Linked DNA regions of Xenopus tropicalis. The protein of the gene in region 1 purifies or fractionates together with the protein of each later gene. This does not show direct contact. Links are inferred from orthologs where the notes say so. Each region holds a gene or a part of one and is shown in the gene's direction. Other genes may lie near its edges.

Region 1 (4,381 bases):
TATAGTGCGTTGTGTTTGTAACTGCTATGTGTGTACCGGTATCACACCCCTTATCCGGAAAGTTCCGAATTACGGAAAGGCTTCTCCCATAGACTCCATTTTAATCAAATAATTCACATTTTATAAAATGATTCCCTTTTCTCTGTAATAATAAAACAGTACCTTTACTTGATCCCAACTAAGATATAATTACCCCTTATTGGGGCAGAACAGCCCTATTGGGTTTATTTCATGGTTAAATGATTCCCTTTTCTCTGTAATAATAAAACAGTACCTGTACTTGATCCCAACTAAGATATAATTACCCCTTATTGGGGCAGAACAGCCCTATTGGGTTTATTTCATGTTTAAATGATTCCCTTTTCTCTGTAATAATAAAACAGTACCTGTACTTGATCCCAACTAAGATATAATTACCCCTTATTGGGGGCAGAACAGCCCTATTGGGTTTATTTAATGGTTAAATGATTCCCTTTTCTCTGTAATAATAAAACAGTACCTGTACTTGATCCCAACTAAGATATAATTACCCCTTATTGGGGCAGAACAGCCCTATTGGGTTTATTTAATGGTTAAATGATTCCCTTTTCTCTGTAATAATAAAACAGTACCTGTACTTGATCCCAACTAAGATATAATTACCCCTTATTGGGGGCAGAACAGCCCTATTGGGTTTATTTAATGGTTAAATGATTCCCTTTTCTCTGTAATAATAAAACAGTACCTGTACTTGATCCCAACTAAGATATAATTACCCCTTATTGGGGCAGAACAGCCCTATTGGGTTTATTTCATGGTTAAATTATTCCCTTTTCTCTGTAATAATAAAACAGTATAGAGAGCTACGGAGTTGCCATCCGGTGATCTGGAAATGTGCATTTATTTCCATGAAATAACTTTTCTAACCTATAACAATGTCATGTGTAAAAAAAAAAATTAGTTTCAGTTCTTTTAATTAAAAATATCAAAAGAAAATGTTAGCGTAGGGTTTGTTGGCCAAATGAGAGAACTGGGCACGGGCGAATGCTACTGCAGAGCGTTATATTAATGCCTGGGGGCTTGTTATTCCCAGTCACACACAGGCAAACTACATTGGTTTTCTTTCCTGGATTTCCTATTTTCCCATTGAATTTAAATGGGGCCACATTGTAACGATGTAAGTAGTAGTAGATTAAGTAGTGACTGACGGGTAAAGAGTCTCCGAGTCTCCACAGAACTTGTTTCACCAGTAAAATGCAACGTAAAACTGCAACAATTTCCATCACTAAAGCTTTTGTTCTTTTTGTCTCTTCTCCTTACAAAGGCTGCCGGTATATTCTACGTGTCCAGCCGTGTAAACCTTTTGCGCCTTCTGGTCACACCTGTGCCTTGCCTTCTGCCATTTCTGCAGTGTCTGTCAGCCCAAGTGTCTTCAAGGGAAATGGCCAGTCGAGGAACAACTGCTCGACCCAATGGTCCGGCGGCCGGCAACAAGATCTGCCAGTTCAAGTTGGTTTTACTGGGGGAGTCGGCAGTGGGGAAGTCCAGCTTGGTCCTGCGCTTCGTTAAGGGCCAGTTTCACGAGTACCAAGAAAGCACAATTGGAGGTAGGTTATGTGTTATACAGGTGTGGGAACTGTTACCCAGCATGCTCGGGGCCTGGGTTTTTCCCAATAAGGAATCTTTCTGTAATTTGGATCTCCAAAGGAAATCATTTAAACATGAAAAGAACCCACTAGGACTGTTCTGCCCCCAATAAGGGGTAATTATATCTTAGTTGGGATCAAGTACAGGTACTGTTTTATTATTACAGAGAAAAGGGAATCATTTAACCATGAAATAAACCCAATAGGGCTGTTCTGCCCCAATAAGGGGTAATTATATCTTAGTTGGGATCAAGTACAGGTACTGTTTTATTATTACAGAGAAAAGGGAATCATTTAACCATTAAATAAACCCAATAGGGCTGTTCTGCCCCAATAAGGGGTAATTGTATCTTAGTTGGGATCAAGTACAGGTACTGTTTTATTATTACAGAGAAAAGGGAATCATTTAACCATTAAATAAACCCAATTGGGCTGTTCTGCCCCAATAAGGGGTAATTATATCTTAGTTGGGATCAAGTACAGGTACTGTTTTATTATTACAGAGAAAAGGGAATCATTTAACCATGAAATAAACCCAATAGGGCTGTTCTGCCCCAATAAGGGGTAATTGTATCTTAGTTGGGATCAAGTACAGGTACTGTTTTATTATTACAGAGAAAAGGGAATCATTTAACCATTAAATAAACCCAATAGGGCTGTTCTGCCCCAATAAGGGGTAATTATATCTTAGTTGGGATCAAGTACAGGTACTGTTTTATTATTACAGAGAAAAAGGAATCATTTAACCATGAAATAAACCCAATAGGGCTGTTCTGCCCCCAATAAGGGGTAATTATATCTTAGTTGGGATCAAGTACAGGTACTGTTTTATTATTACAGAGAAAAGGGAATCATTTTTAAAAAGTAGAATTATTTGGGAGATGGCCTTCCTGTAATTTGGAGCATTCTGGATAAAAGGGTTCCAGAAAACAGATCCTATACTCATTTTCTTTTCTATGTGAAAATAACACGCTTGCCAAATGATCTGCTTGTTAGATGTACCATAAATTGCACGATTTGGCCTCTGAAAATAGACACAAATGATGATCCTAATAATGGGATGATAATTTGGGTCTTTGCAGACCTGACAGGCACATGACCACATCAATATCCCACTGCAATAATTCCCTAATTGGGCAGGATTTTCAAAGCTTTCTGACCAATACCTGATCAAGCATTTGTACAGGAAAGATGGCATTTTCCCCCATACTTGGGCCAGTAAGACTTATTCTGGAGTGGCCAGGTCAGTAGCCAGTGTAGGCCAGTGTATGGCTAGCTTTGAGCTTCAGTTTGAATATAAGCCACATTCATCAGGCTCAGCCCTTCTCAGTTAAAGTAAGTCTCTACCATGGTCACTTGGTCATCCTGTGTCCTTGTTCTTTTACCCTACTATAGTTTATATAAATACCCCGCTGTGTAGCCCCGGGGGCAGCCATTCCTGCACTGGTACAGCTGGGGTATTTGCTACAGAAACCCTACTATAGTTTATATAAATACCCCGCTGTGTAGCCCCGGGGGCAGCCATTCCTGCACTGGTACAGCTGGGGTGTTTGCTACAGAAACCCTACTATAGTTTATATAAATACCCCGCTGTGTAGCTCCGGGGGCAGCCATTCCTGCACTGGTACAGCTGAGGTGTTTGCTACAGAAACCCTACTATAGTTTATATAAATACCCCGCTGTGTAGCCCCGGGGGCAGCCATTCCTGCACTGGTACAGCTGGGGTGTTTGCTACAGAAACCCTACTATAGTTTATATAAATACCCCGCTGTGTAGCCCCGGGGGCAGCCGTTCCTGCACTGGTACAGCTGGGGTGTTTGCTACAGAAACCCTACTATAGTTTATATAAATACCCCGCTGTGTAGCCCTGGGGGCAGCCGTTCCTGCACTGGTACAGCTGGGGTGTCCCGGGGGCAGCCGTTCCTGCACTGGTACAGCTGGGGTGTCCCGGGGGCAGCCGTTCCTGCACTGGTACAGCTGGGGTGTCCCGGGGGCAGCCATTCCTGCACTGGTACAGCTGGGGTGTTTGCTACAGAAACCCTACTATAGTTTATATAAATACCCCGCTGTGTAGCCCCGGGGGCAGCCGTTCCTGCACTGGTACAGCTGGGGTGTTTGCTACAGAAACCCTACTATAGTTTATATAAATACCCCGCTGTGTAGCCCCGGGGGCAGCCATTCCTGCACTGGTACAGCTGGGGTGTTTGCTACAGAAACCCTACTATAGTTTATATAAATACCCCGCTGTGTAGCCCCGGGGGCAGCCATTCCTGCACTGGTACAGCTGGGGTGTTTGCTACAGAAACCCTACTATAGTTTATATAAATACCCCGCTGTGTACCCCCGGGGGCAGCCATTCCTGCACTGGTACAGCTGGGGTGTTTGCTACAGAAACCCTACTATAGTTTATATAAATACCCCGCTGTGTAGCCCCGGGGGCAGCCGTTCCTGCACTGGTACAGCTGGGGTGTTTGCTACAGAAACCCTACTATAGTTTATATAAATACCACGCTGTGTAGCCCCGGGGGCAGCCATTCCTGCACTGGTACAGCTGGGGTGTTTGCTACAGAAACCCTACTATAGTTTATATAAATACCCTGCTGTGTAGCCCCGGGGGCAGCCATTCGAGCTGGAAAAAAGGAGATTAGGCACCTGTTAAATAGCAGATAACAGATAAAACACCATTGTATGCTACAGAGACTAGGGCTGAGGAGAGAAGTGGGTTCTGCAGACTGGTGCCAGCGGATTACTAGATC
Region 2 (4,591 bases), on another chromosome or scaffold:
AATTGGGCAGATAGCAGACAGGACACCCAATGAGAGGGGGGTAATTGGGTAGATAACAGGCAGGACTCCCAATGAGAGAGGGGTAATTGGGTAGACAACAGGCAGGACTCTCAGTGAGAGCAGGGTAATTGGGCAGATAGCAGACAGGACACCCAATGAGAAGGGGTAATTGGGCAGATAGCAGACAGGACACCCAATGAGAGAGGTGTAATTGGGTAGACAACAGGCAGGACTCTCAGTGAGAGCAGGGTAATTGGGAAGATAGCAGACAGGACACCCAATGAGAAGGGGTAATTGGGCAGATAGCAGACAGGACACCCAATGAGAAGGGGTAATTGGATAGATAACAGACAGGACTCCCAATGAGAGAGGGGTAATTGGATAGACAACAGGCAGAACTCTCAGTGAGAGCAGGGTAATTGGGCAGATAGCAGACAGGACACCCAATGAGAAGGGGTAATTGGGCAGATAGCAGACAGGACACCCAATGAGAAGGGGTAATTGGGTAGATAACAGGCAGGACACCCAATGAAAGAGGGGTAATTGGGCAGATAACAGGCAGGACACCCAATGAGAGAGGGGCAATTGGGTAGATAACAGGCAGGACTCCCAAAGAGAAGGGGTAATTGGGTAGATAACAGGCAGGACTCCCAATGAGAGAGGGGTAATTGGGCAGATAACAGGCAGGACTCCCAATGAGAGAGGGGTAATTGGGCAGATAACAGGCAGGACTCCCAATGAAAGGGGGGTAATTGGGCAGATAACAGACAGGACTCCCAATGAGAGAGGGGTAATTGGGCAGATAACAGACAGGACACCCAATGAGAGAGGGGTAATTGGGCAGATAACAGGCAGGACTCCCAATGAGAGAGGGGTAATTGGGCAGATAACAGGCAGGACACCCAATGAGAGAGGGGTAATTGGGCAGATAACAGGCAGGACTCCCAATGAGAGAGGGGTAATTGAGCAGATAACAGGCAGGACACCCAATGAGAGAGGGGTAATTGGGCAGATAACAGGCAGGACTCCCAATGAAAGGGGGGTAATTGGGCAGATAACAGGCAGGACTCCCAATGAGAGAGGGGTAATTGGGCAGATAACAGGCAGGACTCCCAATGAGAGGGGGGTAATTGGGCAGATAACAGACAGGACTCCCAATGAGAGAGGGGTAATTGGGCAGATAACAGACAGGACACCCAATGAGAGAGGGGTAATTGGGCAGATAACAGGCAGGACTCCCAATGAGAGAGGGGTAATTGGGCAGATAACAGGCAGGACACCCAATGAGAGAGGGGTAATTGGGCAGATAACAGGCAGGACACCCAATGAGAGAGGGGCTATTACACAGATAACAGCCAGTGCCCCACCCTCCCATCTTTAGCCCCCCCAGTATCCCTTGCTGGGAAGATGCAGACGCGGAAGGATCTATTTTCACAGCCGCATAACTAAGGTCACACGCCCTCTTCCTTATTGTCCCTCTGTGGTGTCTGTGGGCCCCGCATGGGGGGCTGTTAGGGACTAAGTGAGACGGTGCCCGGCAGTGCAGCTCGGTACTAGCGATACTGGCTGTTGGGGGCCGTAGGGTGGGGCAGGGGGTGGGGTTAGAGGAAGGAACTATTTGCTGGCGCGGAAGGAGACAGGGCGGTGAAGCTGTTCCTCCATCTTTGGTCCAGCTCAGCTTCCAGCTCCGCACTCTCCCCTCACGGCGCGATGGATGAGGAGTACGATGTGATCGTGTTGGGTACCGGCCTGACGGTGAGTGGCCATGGGGGCCTGGCTGGGTACTGGGGGGTCCTACTCGCTCTTTTATTCTGGGGCCCCAGGAAAGGCTTCAGGGGGCAGTTACACGGGCTGGAGTGGGTAGTGCCTGGGGCAATTACTGTTATAGGCCTAGTAATGCCCTATGGGTATGGGGGCAGGGCCCCTCACTGTCAGCTGGGGGCATTGATGGGATGTATGGGGGCACTGACATGTACTGGGGGGAAATAACATGAATACAGGGCCGTGCCACTCTCTGGTACAGGCTGGGGGCACTGACACGTACTGGGGGGAAATAACATGAATACAGGGCCGTGCCACTCTCTGGTACAGGCTGGGGGCACTGACATGTACTGGGGGGAAATAACATGAATACAGGGCCGTGCCACTCTCTGGTACAGGCTGGGGGCACTGACACGTACTGGGGGAAATAACAGGAATACAGGGCCGTGCCACTCTCTGGTACAGGCTGGGGGCACCGACATGTACTGGGGGGAAATAACAGGAATACAGGGCCGTGCCACTCTCTGGTACAGGCTGGGGGCACTGACATGTACTGGGGGGGAAATAACATGAATACAGGGCCGTGCCACTCTCTGGTACAGGCTGGGGGCACCGACATGTACTGGGGGGAAATAACAGGAATACAGGGCCGTGCCACTCGCTGGTACAGGCTGGGGGCACTGACATGTACTGGGGGAAATAACATGAATACAGGGCTGTGCCCACTCTCTGGTACAGGCTGGGGGCACTGACATGTACTGGGGGGAAATAACATGAATACAGGGCCGTGCCACTCTCTGGTACAGGCTGGGGGCACCGACATGTACTGGGGGGAAATAACATGAATACAGGGCCGTGCCACTCTCTGGTACAGGCTGGGGGCACCGACATGTACTGGGGGGAAATAACAGGAATACAGGGCCGTGCCACTCTCTGGTACAGGCTGGGGGCACCGACATGTACTGGGGGGAAATAACATGAATACAGGGCCGTGCCACTCGCTGGTACAGGCTGGGGGCACTGACATGTACTGGGGGGAAATAACATGAATACAGGGCCGTGCCACTCTCTGGTACAGGCTGGGGGCACCGACATGTACTGGGGGGAAATAACATGAATACAGGGCCGTGCCACTCGCTGGTACAGGCTGGGGGCACTGACATGTACTGGGGGGAAATAACAGGAATACAGGGCCGTGCCACTCTCTGGTACAGGCTGGGGGCACTGACATGTACTGGGGGAAATAACATGAATACAGGGCCGTGCCACTCTCTGGTACAGGCTGGGGGCACTGACATGTACTGGGGGGAAATAACATGAATACAGGGCCGTGCCACTCTCTGGTACAGGCTGGGGGCACTGACATGTACTGGGGGGAAATAACAGGAATACAGGGCCGTGCCACTCTCTGGTACAGGCTGGGGGCACTGACATGTACTGGGGGGAAATAACAGGAATACAGGGCCGTGCCACTCTCTGGTACAGGCTGGGGGCACTGACATGTACTGGGGAGAAATAACAGGAATACAGGGCCGTGCCACTCTCTGGTACAGGCTGGGGGAACTGACATGTACTGGGGGGAAATAACATGAATACAGGGCCGTGCCACTCGCTGGTACAGGCTGGGGGCACTGACATGTACTGGGGAGAAATAACAGGAATACAGGGCCGTGCCACTCTCTGGTACAGGCTGGGGGCACCGACATGTACTGGGGGGAAATAACATGAATACAGGGCCGTGCCACTCGCTGGTACAGGCTGGGGGCACTGACATGTACTGGGGGGAAATAACATGAATACAGGGCCGTGCCACTCGCTGGTACAGGCTGGGGGCACTGACATGTACTGGGGGAAATAACAGGAATACAGGGCCGTGCCACTCTCTGGTACAGGCTGGGGGCACTGACATGTACTGGGGGGAAATAACAGGAATACAGGGCCGTGCCACTCTCTGGTACAGGCTGGGGGCACTGACATGTACTGGGGAGAAATAACAGGAATACAGGGCCGTGCCACTCGCTGGTACAGGCTGGGGGCACTGACATGTACTGGGGGGAAATAACATGAATACAGGGCCGTGCCACTCGCTGGTACAGGCTGGGGGCACCGACATGTACTGGGGGAAATAACATGAATACAGGGCCGTGCCACTCTCTGGTACAGGCTGGGGGCACCGACATGTACTGGGGGGAAATAACATGAATACAGGGCCGTGCCACTCTCTGGTACAGGCTGGGGGCACTGACATGTACTGGGGGGAAATAACAGGAATACAGGGCCGTGCCACTCGCTGGTACAGGCTGGGGGCACTGACATGTACTGGGGGGAAATAACAGGAATACAGGGCCGTGCCACTCTCTGGTACAGGCTGGGGGCACTGACATGTACTGGGGGGAAATAACAGGAATACAGGGCCGTGCCACTCTCTGGTACAGGCTGGGGGCACTGACATGTACTGGGGGGAAATAACAGGAATACAGGGCCGTGCCACTCTCTGGTACAGGCTGGGGGCACTGACATGTACTGGGGGGAAATAACAGGAATACAGGGCCGTGCCACTCTCTGGTACAGGCTGGGGGCACTGACATGTACTGGGGGAAATAACAGGAATACAGGGCCGTGCCACACTCTGGTACAGGCTGGGGGCACTGACATGTACTGGGGGGAAATAACAGGAATACAGGGCCGTGCCACTCTCTGGTACAGGCTGGGGGCACTGACATGTACTGGGGGGAAAATAACAGGAATACAGGGCCGTGCCACTCGCTGGTACAGGCTGGGGGCACCGACATGTACTGGGGGGAAATAACATGAATACAGGGCCGTGCCA

The links.
Region 2: the proteins of rab5c (region 1) and gdi1 purify together in Homo sapiens (affinity purification with mass spectrometry; 3 studies listed by BioGRID and IntAct, counting the BioPlex papers as one, with this or other methods). This does not show direct contact. The link is inferred for Xenopus tropicalis from reciprocal best matches to the Homo sapiens genes RAB5C and GDI1.

What each region holds. Positions count from the first base shown.
Region 1 is NC_030686.2:6,896,861-6,901,241, forward strand, and holds the start of rab5c (ras-related protein Rab-5C), read left to right. Parts: upstream 1-1,303; 5' UTR 1,304-1,420; coding exon 1,421-1,586; intron 1,587-4,381. UniProt on the Homo sapiens protein: The small GTPases Rab are key regulators of intracellular membrane trafficking, from the formation of transport vesicles to their fusion with membranes.
Region 2 is NC_030684.2:141,981-146,571, forward strand, and holds the start of gdi1 (rab GDP dissociation inhibitor alpha), read left to right. Parts: upstream 1-1,616; 5' UTR 1,617-1,710; coding exon 1,711-1,755; intron 1,756-4,591. UniProt on the Homo sapiens protein: Regulates the GDP/GTP exchange reaction of most Rab proteins by inhibiting the dissociation of GDP from them, and the subsequent binding of GTP to them. Promotes the dissociation of GDP-bound Rab proteins from the membrane and inhibits their activation.